2 linked regions of the Lonchura striata genome follow. The protein of the gene in region 2 interacts with the protein of the main gene of each other region in a pairwise test. Links are inferred from orthologs where the notes say so. Each region holds a gene or a part of one and is shown on either strand. Other genes may lie near its edges. The genes, in order: MBNL1 and DAB1.

Region 1 (11,366 bases), on a different chromosome or scaffold from region 2:
CGAGCCCCGGCCGAGCCCCGAGCCCCGGCCGAGCCCCGGCCCCGAGCCCCGGCCGAGCCCCGGCCGAGCCCCGAGCCCCGAGCCCCGGCCCCGCGCTGCCGAGCGCCCCGCGGCCGCGGGCTCCGGGCCCCGGCGGGGACCCTGCCCGAGGGCCGCGCCCCGGCCCCGGCGCAGCCCGGCGCCTGTCCCGGCCCGCCGAGCCCCCCTTCCCCGGGAGCCGCCCCGGCCCCGGCGCAGCCCGGCGCCTGTCCCGGCCCGCCGAGCCCCCATTTCCCCGGGAGCCGCCCCGGCCCCGGCGCAGCCCGGCGCCTGTCCCGGCCCGCCGAGCCCCCATTTCCCCGGGAGCCGCCCCGGCCCCGGCGCAGCCCGGCGCCTGTCCCGGCCCGCCGAGCCCCCCTTCCCCGGGAGCCGCCCCGGAGCGCCGCCGCCGCGGCCCGCGGGCCGGGCCTCACGCCGCACTCACCCCGGGCCTGCCGGCGCGGCCGTGCCGGCCCGCCCGCCCGCTCAGCCGCTCATGCTGACGGCGCCGCCGGCGCGGCGGGCGGAGGCAGCGCGGCCCGGGCTCCCCGCGCCAGCCCCGCGCCCGCTTCCGCCGCCGCCCCCGCCCCGCCCGGAAGCGCCGCCCGGCCCCGGCCCCGCCGGCAGCCCCGGGCCCGCGGGGAGCCCGGCCCGGCCCGGCCCGGCCCCGGCCGGCCGCGCTCACCTGCTCCCGGGGCGGCCTCCGCGCTCCGGGCACCGCGGGAGCGAGGGGCAGGCGCGGAGCGGGGCGGCGGCGCGGCGGGCTGCCCTCCCCCGGGGCCGCCCTCCCTCATCCTCCCCGCGGCGGAGCGGCCGGCGCCTCATGAGTCACCGAGCCGGGCCCGCACACGTGCCCGGCCCCGCCGCCCGCGGCCGGGGAGGCGCGGCAGGGGCGGCGCTGCCCGGCCCGGCCGCGCAGCGCCCAGCGCGGCGGCTCCAGAGCCCCAGGGCCGTCCCGGGGAGCACGGTCCCCCAGAGCCCCAGGGCCGTCCCGGGGAGCACGGTCCCCCGAGGACCCGCTCCCAAAGCGGGCGGCAGGATCCTGCTCTCCTCCTCTGAGCCGCAGCAGCCGTTGCAGAGCGGCTGGTTCTGCCGGCTGCCGCGGGGGCTGGCACGGCTCCCCCGGCACCCACCAGCAGCGGCTGCACCGCTCCGGCCCTCCAGAGACGCAGCCCCACCGCCCGGGCGACTGCTCGGCTCTGGCCCTGTCACAGGGCAGGTGTCGGTCCGGCCGTGTGGCTGACACCGACGGCAGAGTGCACAAAGATTAGCCAGAGGTGTACCAAAGTGTCCCCTGCCACGACACGCACACGGGGTCATGTGCAAAGGGCTCATCAGACCACCGTGGTGCTAACCACAGTTTAGGAAAGACAAACTGAAAAGAGACAAGGAAAGAGACAGGGAGTTTATCTCCAGTGTCACGTACTGTTAAACGTCTTTTAACACAGATACCTAAGCAGAGGGTTGTTTTGTGAGATGAAGTAATGACAAATAATTCCTCACTTGACTTTGGGAGACAGATTTTGTTAGCTGGTCTCTAGATCTAACTCCAGCTGCTTCCTTCATAAGGCTTTTTGTTCTGTTACAAGCCTGGAGGGGATATAATTAACTTTGCTTTTCTTGTGCTCTAATCGCCCCTGCAGCGGAGCAGGCAGCACTTTGGAAACAGAATGGATTTAGTGAGCATCCCTCCTCAGAGCTGCCCAGCCTGGGCAGCATCCAGGTGTGCCACATGCCCGAGGGAGTGCCGGCACCTCAGTGGCTGGGAGAGCTTTCTGATACCTGCTGGTTAACTCTGATGGCTTTTTGCTAGAAACGGGAGGCTGAAAGGACAAAGAAGCATTCCATTTTCTTTCAGAAAAATGTCATGTTCTTACACTTTTGTTTCAATGAAGTTTAATCCAGAGCAGAACAAAACTCATGACAACTGGTATCCCATTGTATTTTCTATTTGCCTGCCTCGCTGTGGTGCAGCGCAGATGTCCCCCAGCCAGAGCAGCCCTGGCTGCACAGCCCCGATGGGCCCTGGGAGTGAACATTGTACTGGGCCACTTGTGCTCTTCCTGTTCCCGCTCAAGCACAAAGAGCTCCCGGGGCCATTTCCTCCCTGAGAACCGACATCACCACTCTGGGCGTTTTCAAAGCACTTCTGGTCACAAAGTTTCTGTACAAACTCCTCCCTGCCCAAATTCTTCTTAAATAATGGCGTGGAACAGTGTCTTGGCACTGGGAGACTGGAGCTGTGTCCTGGGCACAGTGATGGCATTTCTCACAGTATCCTGGAAAGTGAATGCATTCCATTCACACTGCTTTATGCAGGTTACAGCAGATCAAACCCTGAGGCATGGACGTCGGGCACAAGCTCATAGCAGAATGTCCAGGCACGGCAGGGTAAAGAGGAAACCGTAAGGAAATTTCAGATGCAGGGGTCTCCCAGGTCATCATCCAATGCCAACAGCAACCACCACCTGGGATTCCAACAGACTAATTGTCTTACAGCAAAGATAAAGAAATGTGTCATAGCACACTGCATCGTGCGCCGCTCAGCCCTGAAGACATAAATCGGTACTTGAGGACAAAGAGAAACACTGTATGCTAAGAAAGTTTTTTGAGGGATACTTTGTGTTTTACAGTCCCTGTGAGCTATTGCACGTGGAGCAGGAAGAGGAGCTCTCCTGGCTGAGTCAGGGCAGCCCTGGCGCTGTTGAGGGGAGAGGCTGACCAGTGGAAACGGTGCCAAGGTGCCTGCCCTTCCCTCTGAGCCCAGCAGGCAGCAGGGCCAGTGGTCACCCGGAGCATGGACACCAGTGTGTCCCAGAGCCTGACACGAGGGTGCCTGTGGGCATCCTCATCCCGGCTGCGCCTCGAGCAGAACAAAAACACTTCCTCGCTGCCGGGCTCCCACCTGTTAGGAGCATGGGGGGCTCCGTACCCGGCCTCACACACAGACAGAAACCACCTGAGCTCCAAGTGTGTCTTCATTTTATCTCACCAAATAGCTGCAATACAGCAGTCACTAAATCAACCTATACTCTGATTTTCCTTCTCTCCTTGAACCTTCATTAAAGACAGACACACGAGTTGCTTCAAACCCGAACTGAATATGACTGCAACCCTGGAGAAGCCGTTTGCTTCCTGATGCCCTTATTTGTGCAACACTGGTGAAGCTCAAGTTCCCCAAAAAGGTCTGACACAAGCTCCAGTGCGGCTGCCACGGAAGGCCCTGCTGCCTCCCTGCTCTTCCGGAGCCCGCTCCCGCGGCTGCTGCACGGCGCACGCAGCCACCGCTTCCCGCCAGGCCAGAGCACATTTGTTTCTGGTTTAATGATCTCATCTGCATGTGCATTTCTGTAAATATAGCACACAAATTTATGACTTGGCCCTTACACTGTTTTGTCCTTTTATTTTAAAGCCTCCTGCAACTACTGTGTGATAGCATTCTTGTTGAAAGCAATAAGATACTTAGAATCTCTCCTAGTCTACAAGCACATAAATGAGAAAAATCCACAGCGCAATTCCTAGCAAATAATTGTGACAGACGTTATAGCTTCTGCCTTTTCTGCAAAGGCAATTTCTTTCCTTCTCTGCAGCTCATGCTGGAGCCCCTCCAGCAGCACCTGGTCACAGCCCCAGCCCCACGGGAGCAGTGTGGGTGCTCAGCCCCACGGCTGCTGCATGCGATCCAACGTGGTGTTTAGTCACGGAAAACTGGCGGGACGTTCGCCAGCAGTAGCAGATTTCACGGTAGGAAGCTGAGGGTTGCTCTCAGAGGATTAATGTCATTTCAATCTCCCATGCACTTAACCAACAGCCCCCTAGAGTGCCGGAGAGGGGCTGAGCAGCAACGCGCCCGGGATGGACACCCACCTGCCTCGCCCAGGGCCGGCAGGACCCTGCGGAGGAGCAGCACTCGGCCCCACAGGGAAATGCACCCAAAGTGGTGCAGGGCTGGCAGGACCCTGCAGAGGAGCAGCACTCGGCCCCACAGGGAAATGCACCCAAAGTGGTGCAGGGCTGGCAGGACCCTGCAGAGGAGCAGCACTCGGCCCCACAGGGAAATGCACCCAAAGTGGTGCAGGGCCGGCAGGACCCTGCGGAGGAGCAGCACTCGGCCCCACGGGGAAATGCACCCAAAGTGGTGCAGGGCCGGCAGGACCCTGCGGAGGAGCAGCACTCGGCCCCACGGGGAAATGCACCCAAAGTGGTGCAGGGCTGGCAGGACCCTGCGGAGGAGCAGCACTCGGCCCCACGGGGAAGTGCACCCAAAGTGGTGCACAGCATGGCGGGGGTGCCTCACCAGCCCTGTGTCCGCTCTACTGCCAGAACACAGCAGATGTTAAACCAGCTCACAGGGCTCTTGTAAGCATGCAAAAACCTCTCTAGCTTTTCCAGCGCAGTAAGCACCACAGGTGATGAACGGATAAAACGGTGGTAAAAGCAGAAGAAAGAGAAGTTGCACACACCGGCGCCATGGCAGTGGCTCCCGCGCCGTGTTTGTTCCACGTGTCCCTGGGACCAGGCTGCTGCCACTCAGGGTGCAGCTCCACACCACAGGGGTCCCAGTGGACCCCCAGCACGCAGCACAGCGGGTCTATGATGGGCCTGACTGCAACTTTTAATGCTCTTCAGAACCACAAAGTTTTGTTACTCATGCCCTGCATAAAACCATCTTGCATTTAGTGTTAATTTCTCTACTAAATTATTGAAGTCTTCACTAACTCAAGATAGCGAGGCACGTACGCGAAAGCGCAATGAAAGACGGCAATGAAACCGTCCAGCTTTGTGAACGACTCACCGTCCATCACGACAGCCGCGCTCTCCTGCTGCGCTCGGCGGGCCCCGCGCTGGGGCCAGTGCCTCCGTCCCACCCGGGGCTCCTGCGCGGCGCACGGGGCGCCGGCAGCGCTGCTGGCACAGCCGCCGCCCCGGTGCCGCGGGGCCAATGACAGCCTGCTGCTCTCTGCGACCGCAGCACGCCGGCCCGGCCGGGGGAAGCGGGGACAGCCCAGAGAGTGACACTTACCGAACCTATGGGGCCGAGGCAGCGAAGCGAGCCCTTCGTGCAGCGCTAACCACGGCCACGGGCTGGGCTTTGCACATCTATTTTCTTAAGGAAGCAAAAATTACTTTCTGCTAGTAAAAAAGGACACGCCAGAGGAAGTGCTTTGCATGGCGCTGCAGCCCGGCTCGCTGCCGGGGAGCTCGTGGCAGGGACACGGACACGCGGCTTGCAGCACTGGCAGACGTCTCCCTGCGAGCCATTAATCTGCCCGCTGGCAGCTGCTGGGGAAACGGGCTCGGGCCGCTGACATGGGCCATGGCCCGCGCTCCCTGCCTGGAAATGGGGCAATGCTGGGGCGGTGGCCCCGACTCCTTCCTGCTGCAAGCCGCAGATAACGGCTGCCTGGCCAGCGCCGGCACCCGCAGCGTGGCTGGCCTCGCCTGCCAGGCACTTTCGGGCCCACTTTTGCTATTTCTGCTGGGGTTACCACCAACTCCAGGCTTCCAAAGCCAGCAGCCCTTCCACCCAAAGCTCTCAGAGCCAGCTGGAAATTCCCCTCGCTCAGCCCGGGGGGAAAACGCCATGGTGTCCTATCCTCACTGGCCGTGCCAGCTTTGGTAAACCCGTGCAGTGGCTCCTGCCCGGCAGCGGGCATGGTGGGCACGGCCCAGGGCAAGGGCTCTGTGGGCCGTGCTGCAGGGGAAAGGCCGCGTGGCTGCCCTCGGCTGTGCCAGCTGTGCCCCGCAGCCGGAGCAGGAGGCTCGTACCCACTGCCCCCGTGCCGGGAGCGGAGCCACCTCCCCGGGACCCGGCCCTGCAGCGCCCGAGCTCGGGGCGTGCTGCAGGCGTGCTTGGAGGTGCAGCACGCAGCTGAGCAGCCTGGAAGTGCTGCTGCGGGACGCTGCAGCCAGCACGGCCATGCACAGGATTTCCTGTTGTTTCTTTCCGCTCCTGCACCGGTGTGTCCCCCTCTGCTCCTGCCCTGCAGCAGAGCGCTGCTGGATTCACCATCCCACCCCACGGGGTGTTGCAGGAGTGGGGGGAACAGCTTTCCACGAGTCCCTGAGCCTGGCTCGTGGCAGGTACCAGCCAGCCCCGGCCTGGCACAGCCCCAGCTTGGCCGCAGCACCAGCAGCGGAGTGGGGGAGCACGTCTCTGTGTCTGCACGCTTCCTCACTGAGCCTGCTCCAAGAACTGCCCTGTGGTGAGACAGACAAGTCCCGAGTCCTGATTTCAATCGCTAATAAATAATAAAATAAATTACAATAGTCACCTGAGAATTATCTTTCCTATTACAGAATTTTGTGTGTTTTGGCGGGGATAGGGATCTCTTCCCATCCTGAAGCCTTTTTCCAAGCAGAGTACAGGCACTGCAGCCATCCCAGGTTTCCTCCAGCCTTGCAAACACTCAAATCTATCTTCCTGTCTCTTCAGGAAACCTTCTCTAGAATTCCTAGCGGTTCTGTACCTCGGTCAGAGTAAAACCCCCGATAAGGGTGAAAGGTACCCAGAAATTTCACCCAGAGAGATACAACAGATAAAATTTCCCATGGGTGTCAGCTATCTGTGCAGAAACCCAACATCCTCAAGGCCTCCATCAGAAAAGAGGCCGCCATGGAGAGGGGCCCAGGTCTAGTGTGAAAATCTCGGCTGCAATGACAGATTTTCTCCTTTCTCTTGGTACAGCTGTGGGACTGCCAGGCACAGTGAGCTAGCAAACAGCCCCGCTTCATCTGACGTGATTGCCCGGGCTGCAAACAGAGAGCAGAGCCCACCCGCCTTCCCTGTGCTGGCAGACATGCAGCACGGGGACTCTTCATGCTCTGATGAGTAACACTGCTCACCAAATACTCACTACAGACACACATTGTCACTCAGGCCATGGTGTGCTTTGTGGCGCTGGTTCTGAATTGAGCTGAAATGTGTCGTCGACCTCAGACTGCACAGGGTGAGCAGTCGTGGTGAGACAGATGACAACACTGCCCAGCTTTTTGCCTTTTTTTTTGTTATTATTCCTGAAGAGTCCAAAGCCTGAAGGTTTTCTTAGGCTGCAATTATTAAAATAATGAGTTCCTTCAGAAAGCCAGCGAGACCAGCCCATGTCACGATGCTGCTGAAGGGGTTTCTGTTCCCAACATTTCAGGAGCTTTAATTCTTTCTCACTAAAGCTGACTGTGTCTGACCAATCACCCCACTCCATCCTTATTATTTTTCCAAATTTTGGTCACTTCTTTGTTTTGAAAAATAATGACTGTAAAGTTTTTAGGGGCAGGAGCATTTTGTTTTGTTTGCAAAGAATAAGAAGTCTCTGGTTAATCTGTAAAAGATTATCTGAATCAGAGGAAATGTGGGAAACATATGGACAATCTCATCTCTCCCTCATTAGGAGATAAAGTGTCCTTGCTCCTCATTTCCATCCCAGCATTGGAGATAACAGCTTTGCCTTCCTGCTGGATATCGTGTCAAACAGATCCAGATTGGAAACAAAGGTCCCTTCCTTGATACAGGAACCAGGAGCAGGATCCCCATGTTTTTATATTAAACCCCAGAAATAATAATAACCTGACCCTTTTGTACCTTGTGTTGTTTAGGCAGCTTCTGTATTTTCCAGGAGGAATTGTGTCACCAAGGCAGACCTGCCATGGGCACACTGGCCTGGCTGGCACTGGGCAGGAGTGGGAGCATCTCAACATCCCTGAGTTCCATCCCAGAAAGGATTGTTTGAGTCCAGCCATAAAGGAGGACAAGGTTGGCTCAAAAAATAAAACACATAAGTCCCAAAAGTTAAATTCATATGTAAAGGCAAAGTGCACCAGGTGTAGCAACAGACACTTATTTGCTTTGTTTGGCATTTTTTCCCTTTCAAAAGGTAGATCCCAAACAAGTGATGCTACTAAAGGCATCCCTCCTGTATTCTTTACCTTTTTAAATCTTTTTCACTAAACGTATCCAGGTATAAAATAAAAGATAGTTTTAAGAAGTTTGCAGATTTTCAGGCCTAGGACTCTATTTAATTTTCTTTTTCAATGCTGCTTGCTATCATCCCAGTGGCTGGCAGAGAGCCAGTGGAACTCCCCTCCTTCCCTGCCTTTCACAGCCTCCCTGGGCTTCCAGAGCAATGGCACATTCCTGCTCGCACCGATGCAGCCAAATTAAATATTAGCTCCTGGAAATGTTCCTCGTTTCTCTCACATATCATCTGGGTGAGGCTCCCTGGGCTGAGGCTCGCCGGTAGCGCGGTGCCCGGGATGCTGAGGCACATTTGGGGTGCTGCCCGCAGCTCTCCCAGGGCAGAGCGCTCCCAGCCAGAGCCAGGGGTGCAGGTGGGGCTGGACCCGCATCTCCTGCCACCCTCAGCACACGGGCAGCATCTCCAAACCTCCTCTACAACCAGGACTTCGGGCACCTGGAACCCATCTCCAAACCTACCATTTCCAATCTGAGCTGCCCAGCCGTGGGGGCACCGCCTGTCCCCTAAATGACAGAGGCATCAACACTTCGCAGCCACATTTACAAACAAAGAAATTCTTCAGGGAAAAAACACAGACAACTACTTACTAGTTACTCTCACTATTTAACACAAAGCAGGGCTGCTGCTGAGCAGGAAAAGCTGCTCTGGTGAAAGATGTGGAGTTTTACCAAAGTATCCCTTTTTCTTCCAGAGGATTTGTGCATCTGTGACCCAAACCAGCCATGTTTAAAAGTATTCTGGTGGGAAACTGCCAAGGGGCACAAGTGGAAACTCAAGGTGAGTCTGCCTTCACAAAGAACACAGCAATTCCTAGCATGGAGACATTTCCAAAGGGCAGCAATAATGCACAGCCTTTCATACAGCCCCACGCTACATAACCCAGCCGTGCTCCAGCATGGCCACAGACCGGCAGGCAGTGACAGGGAGCAACAGTCCCCTCCTGCCAAGGAAGGACATGAAAATTACATTTCAAAGTCTGGTTTCATTTCTATGGGACCTTGGAGGGTTGTTGCTACTTGGCCGATGCCTCCACTGCAATATTATGGTATAAGGAGCGAGGCAGACGTGGCTTAGCGACGCCCATATTTTTAGCCAAATAACAGGGATGCTCTGTTTCCCCGTGTTTTAGCAGCACTGGCCCCAGCAGTGCCCAGCACCAGCCCCACACCCTTTGCCAGCAGCCTGTGCGTACCTGCACGCCGGTGTGAGTGTCACAGCCCTTGCACCGGCCCGGCACGGCCGAGCCCGCTCCCCTCGCGACCTGGGCTCACGGGCACAAGCGGCCGCATCGCTCCGCCGGAGCGGCTTCTGCTGCGCGGCGGGCAGCGCTGCCCGAGCTCCGCGGGGCCGGCCGTGCCGGGCCGGGCCGGGCCGGGCCGTGCCAGAGCGGGCAGCGCTGCCCGAGCTCCGCGGAGCCGGCCGTGCCGGGCCGTGCCGGGCTGGGCCGTGCCAGAGCGGGCAGCGCTGCCCGAGCTCCGCGGGGCCGGCCGTGCCGTGCCGGGCCGGGCCGTGCCAGAGCGGGCAGCGCTGCCCGAGCTCCGCGGGGCCGGCCGTGCCGGGCCGGGCCGTGCCAGAGCGGGCAGCGCTGCCCGAGCTCCGCGGGGCCGGCCGTGCCGGGCCGGGCCGTGCCAGAGCGGGCAGCGCTGCCCGAGCTCCGCGGGGCGGCCGGCGGGAGAGCTGCGGCCGGGGCAGTGCTGGGCTGGGCAGTGCCGGGCCGAGCTGGGCAGTGCCGTGCCGGAGCAGTGCCGCGCCGGGCAGTGCCGGGCTGGGGCAGCAGGGCCGAGCACGGCCAGCGGCTCCGGCACCTGCCGGGACACGGTGTCGCCGGCCCGCCCGCAGACAGCCGGGTGCCGGGAGCGCCCAGCCGGGAGCCGCGGCACCCAGCGTGTCCCCGCCGGGCCCCGGTGCCCGGCACGGTGGCGGCAGCGGAGGGCATCCCTGCACTGCCGGCACGGGGCTCCGCAGCTGCGGCACGGGGCTCGGCCCCGAGCGCTCAGACCGAGCGGTCCCGGCGAGCGGGGTCCGGCCGCTGCCGCTGCTGCTGGGGCCGGGCTGGGCAGCGGGACAGGACCTGCCCTGGCCCGGGGCAGGGAGGGGCACAGCCCGGCCAGAGCCGGGTAGCACACCGCAGCTCTGGCACTCCCCTGGCCCGGGTCAGGACCGGGTAGCACACCGCAGCTCTGGGGCTCCCCTGGGGCTCCCCTGGCCCGGGTCAGGACCGGGTAGCACACCGCAGCTCCGGGGATCCCCTGGCCCGGGTCAGGACCGGGTAGCACACCGCAGCTCTGGGAATCCCCTGGCCCGGGTCAGGACCGGGTAGCACACCGCAGCTCTGGGGATCGCCTGGCCCGGCACACATTTTCCCAGCCTGAGGAATGAACCAACACAGATGAAGTATTTTGGGGACGGCATTGGGTTCACAGCATACAAGAGGCCACATTACTTCACTGGAGCAACTTCTGTGGCTGACAGCCCTCACCTGGATCCACTAGCCCCATCCTGTCAGGTCCAAAGCAAAATAATCCAAATAGAAATATGGGAAGATGACAGGAGTGCTGTTTCTGTCTTGCTCTCATCAAGGCCGAGTCAAACAAGATAATTTCAGGGTTTTCTTCTGTAATCACACGTTGCTCAAGAGCTGCCAACAGGATAATGGGCCCCAGTTAACCAGAGCATGGCGACAAGCACAGACCCCACAGAGGACAGAGAACACACCACCCACTGCACTCTGACACCCCAAGAACTTCCATGATCTGCTTTTCTGTGCCAGCTGTTCATAGAGCATCAGTCCCCTCTGTCAGTGTCCAGGTTCCTGGCCCTAATCCATGGGGCTCAGCCCTTCCACAGCTTGCCATGCCATAGAAAACCAGAGCAATGCTTGCCCAGTACAGACCAGTTGGTGCAGGGGGCATACTGGGGTGGAGGGTGACACCCCCAGAGCTGGGGTTAATGATCAGCTCATTTTGTAAACACCAGCTGGTTTCCCTAACTCAATATTTAGAGTTGTACTCTTTCTAATTAAGTAGTGACTATAGCTACATGTCATAAAAATCAGACTGAAAGTCCTAATCATTAGGTCATATTTTAATTGGGTTTTTTAGTGAAAAGGGCATCCTTTGTCTCTTGTGCTTTTGAAAAGTATATAAAGGAAAAATATGAAAGACACTATTACAGAAGGAGAGAAAAATGAATAAGAAGTGTCACATCCAGACAGTGAGTCCATTCAACAGATTTACAGTCTGCATGTTACAGGCATGAAGCACAAACTTGCTTTAAAATAAAATTTAAGGAGCCCAATGAATCAAAATCAAGTCTGTCATGCTAAGAAATACTGTTGGAGAAACTTATATTCAATACTATCAGTACAAGAGCCTG
Region 2 (11,276 bases):
AATATTTGACTGAATCACACCAAACACGCCATCCCTGAACCTCCAAAGGAAGAGGAAGCCCCTTCTCCCCCCGAGAAGCAAACTGCCATCCTACTGTTTGCCTTGCCTGAATACCAAAAAGCACTAATATATACATTTGTAACCAGACACTGAATTTTTATAGAGAAGAAGTGCCTGTTGGCTTGTTTGCTTCAGAAAGGATTCAAGTTCAGATAACTAAATGGAAAATTGTGATTATGGAGAAGAAAATATTTTATGCATCCACTCCTTTCTCCTGGAATGCCGGTTTCAATAAGATTTATCACATTTACTATTGACAGATGATTCCATCATCCATTAGTCCCCATAAAACAGGGAAGAAACCTGGCAGTCTGGTTCTTAGGGAAGGAGGGAATTATGCCCATGGCAGGAGGCTGGAATGAGTTGATCTTTAATGTTTTTAAGCCAAAAAACTTAAGGTTTTTAACCCAAACCATTCTGTGATGCTATGCCATGGCCAGTTGAACTGTAGGGAATATTCTCCACATGAAGATCTCTTAAATTGGAATTTGGGCTTTGATGTGCAATGCTGAGTATTGGGATTTGCTTCTGACTCAGCAGCTCAGGGTGAAGAAAACCCATGGCCAGGTGGAATTGCCAGGTGTGCCCAGAGAGCCCTGACCCTGTGGGAGGAAAGCAGATTCACTAAAGCAACTCAACTTGAAGGAAGGCAAAGCTTCCTTCATCCTCATGAAGAAGTGAAAGCTCAGGATTTCAAATGAGATGTAAAATAGAGCCTTGACCATTCATCGTCATTAAAGATCCCATGAAAACTCCCACAAGAGTAAAAATGTTAACTAACACGTCCTGGCCAATATCCAACTCGGATAATTGCATTCTGCTTCCTAAATTCCCCTTGCAGTTTCAATTGGATTAGTTTTTCTTCATTTCTCTTCCCTAAACCCCTCCTGCATAATGTTTCCAGCCTGGAATGGCTGCTGTATTCCACTCCAGAGGTGTGTGAATTATCAGTGCTGGGCAATCCCAACATACATTTTGGATATATTAGTCAGGGAAAACACTCTCTGAGCTGGAGTAATCCCCTCACCTCTCACTGAGGAGCATTTAACTTTACAAATGAGAAATCCCTCTGATGTTAGTAAGATTTTTTTTCTTCTATTTTTTCCTAAAATATTGCCCTGCAAGGAATGATACCAAACCAGCCTCCTGCCAATTAGGAAAGTCCTTTTTTGGGCCATATCCTCAGCTTAAGGAACCAGCTGCACTTGCTTTGACTTCAATAGGGCTCTGCTACATTAAAACAGGAGTAAAAATTCATATAGTGTTTTTTTTTTTTTGCACTAAGTCACTCATGTTTAAATGTTGGAAGAATTAAAGGAGCTGGCTGTTGAATGCATCAATCTGTGGTTATAGAAGAGGAATATCAGAATGTTTCTCATTCCTTTTAACTGGCTTGCAAATGTTCATGCTATTTTAAAGGGAAGTTGGAGGCTCTTTAAGTTGGCAAACTGATGAAAAATGAAAGTGCTGTGAAATATGAATCTCCTTTTGTGTGCTACGTGTATTCTACTGTAAATACTCACAACAGTATAGAGGCAAGAAAAGTCCTGACCCAGTGCATTTTATGAAACAGGAGGAGCAAAGGTGATTTATGTGCATAAAAGCAAAAACTGACAAGCCTTTGATTTTCTTGCAGAACAATCCCAAAATGATTGTCAAGACTGCTTAGGTTTTTTGCCCTCTGCACTTCCTGTAATAGGATCATTTTATCCAACACACTGTTTTATAGACACTGTGTATAGGGTCATTTCCACCTGCTATCCATGTTACTCAAAAGAATACTTCTCATTCCCACTTCCAAGAGCTCTTAGCAGCAGTTGAGATTGGCTTGTTTTCCCTTCCAGCCTGCTCCTGCATCCCTGGTTAAGCATAAACCCACAAACACACCACTTAGTCCTTCTTTAGAGCTCTGGACGCAGAAGGACATCCTCAAAAATCCGAGAGAGCAATTGTAGAGAGGCTGCAGTCAGAAAAATGGGGAACATGGGGAATACACCCATTCTGGGATTTTCTCCTGAATATCCTAACCCTCCTCCTTTTTCCCTGGAAGGAGGTGTCACTATTTGTCAGCTCCACACTGGACTGGCTGCAACATCATGCTTAATTCCCTTGCCAAAGTGTGGATGGAACAGGGGGATGGGAAAGCTCCAACAGCATCCTGCTTCTGCAGCAAACATGCCTAGGGAAGGGTATGGAACTGAGTGAGGAAATTCAGAGGGTGAATACCAGGCACCAGTGTTGGCTGAGGCTCACCTGATGAGCACAGATGGATCACAGAGGGATTTTTAGGTCACCATCAGATGGTTAAAGAAGCACAGAGCGTGTTCCTGATCTCAGCACACACATGAGTTTGATTAGAGCTGGTCACCAGAAATCAATGACACTTTTCTGTCATCTGCTGCCTGGGTGCCAGCCTTGACTCCAGCTCAGCTCCTTTTGCACACAGCTGACATCCACATGGGATATGACATCCATCCTCCACCACAGACTCCTCTGTTCCCATGGTTTTGCTCCAGTGGAGAAATGGGCTTGAGCAGGAGAACTTTGAGGTTTGCATCCTTATGATAGGTAGTGTCAAGATTATATTGCATTTACAGCAAACACAGGATGGAAACTTTAGTCCTCTCACAGAAATTGGATTTCAAAAGTGCACGAACTGTTTATTGCCTTTGTTTCATGAACAACCTGAAGAAAAGACTGGAGTGAGACAACTCTTTCAGCCACTCCTTCCTTCCCACTTTGATTTCTTTTTAGGATTACCCTGAATGAAGTGAAACATTTCCACTTCTGTGCTCTGAAACAGCTACTGCCATGACAATCAATAAAAATTAGCATGACTACAGGAACAACACAAGGGATTAGCAAGATCTAAAAATGGATGGACTTCCCTGCCCTCCTCTCTGCATCTTGAGGAACCCTTCCAAAAAACCTGATCATAAACGTTTTAATTCTCTGTCAGCTCTCTGGGGAAAATCATTACAGAGGCAAAATTACAGAGCAGTGAGTGCCACTCTGCAATAAGTGTCTGTCAGTCAAGCAGACATCACCCCCCAGTCACCACCAGCGTTCCCATCCTCCAATCCAGAAAAAACAGTGCTGGGCATGGAGAGCTTGCTTGGAGCACTGCTTGAGTGATCAGGCCAAAGCTGTAATCAGCCAGTCAATGGCACAATAGCTTAATTCTTTATTTATTAGTCTGTCTCCCCTCTCTGGTTCAAGCAGTTTATACACTTAATTCAATTTTAAGATCTATGGGTTTGTTTACTAGAGCAAACAAAAACCAGTAATGAAGAGCTGTAGTTAAAGAAAAGTAACCAAACTGTTTGTCTTCTGCTCAAAATTAATCTTTTAGCACCAAATATTGACATTAGAAGCTTAGTTCCATGTCTGCTTTTCACACCTGCCAAGCACACACCAGAGAATTTGGTGTGAAATCACTGAAGGATAGATGCTGACCTGTGCTTTCAGCAGGACATCCCAAAGAAACCACCTGAAATCTAGTGGGGTTCCTCAGAACAAACCTTAATCAATCAATTTGCCAACACCGTCAACCTCAGGCATCTTCTCTCCCTTTTATCTCTAGTCTGACTCGCCTTCATTCTTTGCAGCACCAGAGACAGAATAAACCATACAAGAGGAGAATGATGGTATCATCTCCCACTGCACTCTGCTTGGTCAAGGAAAGGCATTAAAGCTGGAGACCTCTCTGCCAACTGAAGGGAGAAGGAAGGAAGGAAAAGGAAAAAAAAAAAAGAAAAAAAAAACAGAAAAACCTGTTGCAAAAAAAAAAAAAAAAATTCATCACAAATAAAGCCTTGGGTTTGGAGCTTTGCTTCTTTAGATTTTGGGTCTAGATTTACCACTTACACCAACGTCTACAGGCAGTTTAACACCACAATTAAAAAAGCACAAGCAATTCTACCCAGATTCCTTAAATCCAACATAATCACTTCCCACAGAACTACTGAAGTCTACTGAAAACATAGCTGCAGCATTAGAGGGTTATTTGCTCCAAGGACCTTTTTAATATGGCTGTATTGTAATACTGCAGTGCAAGAGCCTCTCCAGCCATAAAAAGAGATTTAGCTCAGAGACACAACTTGTGGGCAATGAAAAACACATTTGCTTCAATTTGCCATCATTTAATAATAGCATTATTTAACAAGATCAGTTAAAACAACCAGCCTCAGAAGACACAGCAGTGCACTTCTTCTCTCGAGACTCCGAGGGCACTGAAATGAAATTCATTCTGCAAACCAAACATGCAAAGCAACCAGCACCACTAGAAAGACCACATTCAAAAGGGAGAAAAACATTTTAGTGACTGACCAGAAAAGAGAACCCCTCTCTATATCCACAGATATGCACATTTTACTTTGAAGCTGCTGTATATTTCACTGGCAAGGAAAATAACATTCTTCCCCTGGAAGTAACATGTTTATCATTACACTTATATTTCCATTCAAAATCAAAAACACACTGAACGTGCACACATGGGGAAGCAACTACCGAGATCTGGGTGTATTCTGTATCACATCACTAGTCAAACCCCATATATCCTCACATAATTATTTTTCTACAAGGTTATGCCTAGTTGGCCACTAACATCCCTGATTAATCATCTCGACTACAAGAAGGCGTCGAGAAGAAGGTAGAAGGGCAACAAAATATTTATTCGGGCTGTAAATATTAACCCAAGAGGGGACAGCTGGTTCAAGTTGCCCCTTCCCGGCTGGCACGCAGAGGTGGATGGCGAGAAAACCCTGCTCGGGAGTCTCTCTCACACACACACACACACACACACAAATAGAAAGGAAGCGGTGCCTCACGTTCATTCCCAGCACGGCTCGGAGATGCTCGCTAGGGCTCGAAGTTGCCCGTGGCCGGCTGTGGCAGTGTTAAATCCCCGCGCACGGCCCCGAAGCGCGGCTCCCGCTCCGCTCGCATCCCCGCTCGCCCGTCCGGCCGGCGGAGCGGGCGGCACCGCGCCGCCCGAGCATCGCTCCCCGCCTCCTCGCCGGCTCCGCCGCGCCAGCGCCTCCCTCCCGCCGCAAAAACTTTGCGTTAACTCCGCCGGGCTCCGCGGGGCGCCGGGACCCGCTCCGCGCACGGCGGCGATGGGGCGGCTCCCCCCGCGCCTCCTCCTACCTGCAGCCGCGCCGCTCCCGCTGATGCTCATCCTCATCCTCATCCTCCTCCTCCTCCTCCTCCTCCTCCTCCTCCTCCTCCGGCGGCGGGCGGGCTGCGCGCCCGGGGCTCGCTGGCTGCGGCGCTGCTGGCGCGGAGCCTGCGCGGGCGGAGGCGGCGCCGGTGCCCTGCAGCTCCGCGCTACCGCATCCCCCGGCAGCGGCAGCGGCAGCGGAGCCCCCCGCCCCGCCCGGGCCGCGGGGAGCCCCTCCGGCGGCTCCGGCCCGGAGTCCTTCGCCCGGCTCCCCTGCGAGGGGCCGCGGCTCCCGGCCCGCTGCCCTCCCGCTGGAAGCCCCCGGGGCCCGCAGCGCCCGGCTGCCGGCCCTGCCCTGCCCGGCCCTGCCCTGCCCTGCCTGTCCCTGCCCTGCCTGTCCCTGTCCTGCCCGTCCCTGCCCTGCCTGTCCCTGCCCTGCCTGTCCCTGTCCTGCTCTGCCCTGCCTATCCCTGCCCGTCCCTGCCCTGCCCTGCCCTGCCTGTCCCTGCCCTGCCTGTCCCGTCCCTGCCCTGCCTGTCCCTGCCCTGCCTGTCCCTGTCCTGCTCTGCCCTGCCCTGCCCTGCCTATCCCTGCCCGTCCCTGCCCTGCCCTGCCCTGCCCTGCCCAGCCTGTCCCGTCCCGTCCCTGCCCTGCCCTGCCCTGCCCTGCCCTGCCCTGCCCTGCCCTGCCCTGCCCTGCCTGTCCCTGCCCGGCCCTGCCCTGCCCGGCCCGGCCCGGCCCGGCCCTGCCCTGCCCTGCCCTGCCCTGCCCTGCCTGTCCCGTCCCTGCCCTGCCCTGCCCTGCCCTGCCCGGCCTGTCCCTGCCCTGCCTGTCCCTGCCCTGCCCTGCCCTGCCCTGCCCTGCCTGTCCCTGCCCTGCCTGTCCCGGCCCTGCCCTGCCCTGCCCGGCCCGGCCCGGCCCGGCCCTCCTGCCGCAGGCGGCCGAGGGAGCCCTGCCAGCCCGGGCTGGCCCGGGCGCGGCTCCCCCCTCACGGCACCGCGGTGTGGGAGCCGGGACACCTGAGCCCTCCCTGCCCAGCCGCGCTGGGACAACGGGCAGCACCTGGGCACAGCCCGGGCAGCGGAGCTGGGCGCCTCGCATCCAGTGAAGGCGTTCCGGGCCCAGTGGGATGTGCTATCACCCTTCTTCCCGTGCTGCCTGCCCTTCCTTGGGATTCTGCCTGGCTGTCCCACAAGAGGTTCGGTTCTGTGCAGCAAGGTGTCTGTTCCTGATGCTCGAAAACGTTGCCCTTGACGGCAGAAATACTTCTGAGTATTACAGCCACGGTAGATCCTGCTTGCCTTGCTGTTCACAGATGGATGTTAAGTGTTTCTCTGGCAAACTCTGACCTAAGCTGGCTCTGTCAATAGGTGCCTGGCCTGCTGGGCAGTGCTCAGGAAGGAGAATTACAGTCTGTGCACAGATACATTTCTTGCTCTTCCTTGTCCATTCTTTCAGTGGGATGTCACAAAACAGCAACATTAATCCCTGGCAAGGCAGAAAATCATGCGTGAGCTCGCAAAGCACAGCAGTGAGACAGCGATTAAAGTTTCTGTCTAATTCTAGGAGATCAAGCTTGTAATAGCTAGAGAATGAGACTTAAGCTGCTTTACATATTCCTTCATATGTAAGATCCTTAAGGATCTCTGGTTATTGTACGTCATGGCAGAGAGAGGTGTTAATAGTTGCAAAACTCGGTGGCTGTGGGCATGTGCCATGTGACAGGCTGTTAACCTTTTGTCACTGTGACCTGACACATTTGACTAAACCACTTTTTCTGGCCCCAATCTCTTACCTGCTCTCCTGTGTCACGTATTTATTGCAGGAGTAACAGCTCTTTATGCTTAATGGGCTTCTTCCATCCAAACCCGGAGCTGTTTAGTAATGGCTGCTTCAGACATTTTGTTACCCTTAACTTGTGGGTGATAAAAGATGAATAAAGCTGTCAAATATCTTATTGATTATGTGATTGAGATGTTCCCTGTCTGCCCTTCTAACACGGAGTTTCTTCCATTCACTTTCTTTCCTGGGGTTTGGGTGAGGAAGGTAAGAGGAATCAGACCTCTTAAACAGCACTGAACCTGCAGTCTGCCAGCCCAGTCTGTTCCTACCCATCACATCCATGTGAGGGATACAACTCTTGCAAATATACCTGTCAAACCTCAGGTCCTGCATCTTTCTGGTGTTAAGTTATGGTGTCTCTGATTTCTAGACCCCAATAGTTTCCCTCATGATGTCTTCTTGTCTGATTTTGGAGAGCAGAGTTTGGTAGAAGATCTGCCAGGTTCACTTAACAATGAATAAAGCCTCAGTTGTGGGTTTGTGATCCTGATGCCGAGTGGGATGTGAGAGATGAGGGTTTAGTTCCAACTCCAGTATAGATTCCTCCCTGCTTTTAGCAAAAGTACTTGCCAAAGATTAGACAGGACAACCAGTTGGGTTGAAGAGCTTGCTGTTGGTACGACTGGCTCCCTGGGCTTTGGGAATGCTCTCAGCTCTCCTAGAAAGAGCATTAATGATGCACCAAGAGCATGGATGTACAAATCCTCCTCTGCAATCCCATCCAAACAAAGAGATACAGTATGGGGGGGAAATGCTTGCAAAAGATCACGGAAAGAAATCTCTATGCAAGTGACATGAATTTCCATTCCTTAAGCGCAGATGTGTGAGCAGAAAAGCCACATAAGTGCCCGTGAATGGGAGCACGCTGGAGAGCTCCCACAGAGCTCCAGTGCCTCGGAGTCAGCTGGGAAGCAGAGAGCCACAAACAGCTGGGCCAGCAAAGGAGCGAGCCTCGGGAGAGGGAGCAGGAGGGGAAGATGCTGCAGTGCACAACTGCAGTGAGGGACTGATTATCCTCATCTCAGAGCAGGCAGAGTTTGAAATGGAAATGAGGAGGAGATTTCCCTGCCACAGTACCCAGCAGTTACAGCAGACGCTGCTCTAAGACAACAGGGGAGCAGGCAGCACACTGCAGGTACCTTTGTTTCACCATTATTCAGCTTATCTCAGAGCCCTCCTTTAATTGTTACTCAAAAAGTTTCATATAGGAATGGAGCACGAACAAAAAACAACTACCTCCACATCTTGGCGTTGATACCGAGGTCTCTGTGAGTGTGGAGGCTTCAGCTTGTGTACTCAAAGCAGAGCAAATTACACAAGTCTCATCCTTCTGGGCTTGGAAACAAAATACCACCTGCTATGCCATGAGAAGGGCTCCAGAGCCAGGAATTCCAAAAGCATCTGAGCTGCAGGAAGTACACAGAATCACAGAGCCCCAGAATGGTTTGGCTTGGAAGGGACCTTGGAGATGTCCTCATTCCACTCCCTGTTGTGTAGATGTCCTCATTCTCCCTAGGTCAGGTTGCTCAAAGCCCCATCAGATGTCTCTGAGAGCAGCTCAGGTCCTAGCATCTACTCAACCCAAAATTCCTATGAGGAAACCAAACCCACCTTCACTGGTGTACCTCAGTTCTCCCCCAAACCTTCAAAACTTCCAAACACAGAACCTCCAGGTGAGGATCAATGCAAACATCTCACAAGCTTTTATCTCTGTCCAAAAGAGATGTTTGATTTGTCTTGTCATCATCCTTCATCTCTGCTTGGGGACTTTTTTTCCTTCTTTTTTATGACTTTAGGAAACTCCTGGCTTTCTCAGGTAGGATATGCATCTTCTGGTGGCGCCTAAAAAAACCCCCAAAAAACCCAAAACAGAAACCTCAGGTCTCTGTTTTAGTAATGACAGAGATACTTGATCAAATACATGCCCAGGAATACCATGAGTCTCTATGCAGAGATAAATGTCTGAATTTTATACTGCAATGTTTTCATTTCAGCACTTCCCACCCATGGATCTCATGGAACTTCATTCAGGTGTCATTACCCCAGTTTTTGTCAGACAGTGGAAGTGAAGCAGTTGCTGACAGACCAGTGGCACAGTCTGGAGGCAGATCAGATACTTTGACCTGACTTTACATCTTTCAGATTCACACAGATATATACACAGATACCTACAGGAAGTTAAAAGGGATTTCTGACATGCTTCACACTAAAATGCATTGCATCACTGAACATCCATTACATGCATTTGATTCCAATCTTCGAATTAATATTTAGGTATAAACATTAATCTGGCTATACAACCACAATATACATGCCCACACCCTTCATCCACTGAAAGAATAATTTTGTATTTTTATGCAGCAGTCACCACCAAAAAAAATAATACTGCCCTCCAAGGTAGAAGTCAAGTTAATTATACTAATAGTAATTGCACTATTTCTTCTTTAAAATATATTCCTCCATATGATTTCTCTAGAGGAAAACATAGATGTCTTTTGATTGCTTTGTGTTTCCTTTCTAAAGCATTTGAGAGATCAAACTTGAGTAGTTTAAATATGAATTTTAAAAATAACTTAAAAATTGAGATTCACATTGCCAAATATTATGTTTGGACATATTTGTACCAATAGCAATTCTGTAGCCATTCATGCAGGAAACAAAAGCAATACATATTTTTCCAGTCACAAATAAACTCATTTCTAAACCCAGCTATTTCCAGAGTACAGTTTATATCCTCTTTCATAAAAATAGAAGGATTGATGGTGGTTTGAGTGGAAGTCATACTTAAAACTGATTTAGCAATAAATTAGTGCAAAACATGCAGAATGTGTGTAGGGCTATTTGTTACAGAAATAAAGATGCTAAATTCATCCAAAATTTTGTTTGCTGTGAATTATTCACTTAGCCCTGTCAGTTCCCGAACCTTTATGAAGATTTTGTGGAAAGCAAGAAAAAAAAATAAAAAAGAATCAAGCATATGCAAAGCAAAACAGCATCAAAAGTCAGAGAAGTCTCCAAGGGAGATGAACTTCAATGCCACAGTAGGGTAAACAAATGGAATTATTTACAATATAACATTATCATTTGCAAGGCTATTTTATTCATTATTTAATCACACACACTGAGTCTCCCTTGCAGCCCATGGCAGACGACAGAGCCATTTTGTTCTGTCTTTCACCTCCATGTCTGTGTGGAAATGAGAGGGTTTATCTAACATTCTGAGACATCACACGAGTTACTGCCTCCTGCCTGTTCAAAACACACTCCTTCCCCTCCAGCTGCTCAGGGGGCACACGGATCTCAAGGTTACAAAGATTTCAGGAGTTGAAAATGGGTTCAAGATCATGAATTCCCTGTAAGTGGGCCTTGCTTTCACTGGGTGTTGCTGGTTCTGTTACACTCGCACGTTGAAGACATCTCCAATATTCCAGCTAGATTGCAGGAATCTCAGGGTTTCCTTCACAATTTGCATAACCATGTGTCAATCAAGGGCTAAGCTTAAGCACCTCTTCTCTTAATCCCCTAATTCACAGGGGAGCAGAGGGGGACAGGAGGGGCGGCTCCGTTCAGCAGTGGAAATCAGCCAAAGGAGGATACTGCCAGGATTAACCTAATCCAACTGCTACAACTATTCAATTTGGAGACTAAGGATGATAAAACCTATTTTCCTAATCAATCAATCATTGTGATCGACTTGCAAAAAAAAAAAAAAAAAAAAAAACAGTGACAGTTAATGAAATCAGCAGAATTATGTCAAATGACAACGCTGAGAAGGCCTCGTGGTAGAAACATCTCACTGTTGCTGAGAAGGGAAGTCAACAAATTACAAGAATCCTTATAATTAAGGGCTTATCAAAGTACTTTATCCCATCAAGCACTACCTTACAGATACCAGGTATTACTTTCCTTAACACTTAAGGAAATTAAGAGCATTGAGGGTGCTTGAAACATCAGAAGGAGCGAGCCAGGAGCGGAAGGTGACATACCATGGTGCATCCTAAGTGATTGAGGAGGTTACCCAGGGAAACAGGAGAAAAAAGAGCCATTGCTGGCTGAAGCTGATCCCAGGCTCTGCTGTCACTGCCAGTTCCATCTGTGAGCAAATCCCAACCACGAGACTTCTGAGCTTCCTTCCTAACTCCTTGTTCAGTAAACAGCATCCCACCACCAGCCCTAAGAGAACAATTACATGCTCCGTCTCCTTTCCTTCCTT

The links.
Region 1: the proteins of DAB1 (region 2) and MBNL1 interact in binary tests that used the Homo sapiens proteins (3 or more experiments, as listed by UniProt). The link is inferred for Lonchura striata from reciprocal best matches to the Homo sapiens genes DAB1 and MBNL1.

The regions. Positions count from the first base shown.
Region 1 is NC_134612.1:26,691,788-26,703,153, forward strand, and holds the start of MBNL1 (muscleblind-like protein 1), read right to left. Parts: upstream 4,832-11,366; 5' UTR 4,814-4,831; intron 799-4,813; exon of another isoform or gene 704-798; intron 540-703; exon of another isoform or gene 464-539; intron 1-463. UniProt on the Homo sapiens protein: Mediates pre-mRNA alternative splicing regulation. Acts either as activator or repressor of splicing on specific pre-mRNA targets. Inhibits cardiac troponin-T (TNNT2) pre-mRNA exon inclusion but induces insulin receptor (IR) pre-mRNA exon inclusion in muscle.
Region 2 is NC_134611.1:7,729,759-7,741,034, reverse strand, and holds the start of DAB1 (disabled homolog 1), read right to left. Parts: upstream 5,091-11,276; 5' UTR 4,890-5,090; intron 1-4,889. UniProt on the Homo sapiens protein: Signaling adapter of the reelin-mediated signaling pathway, which regulates the migration and differentiation of postmitotic neurons during brain development.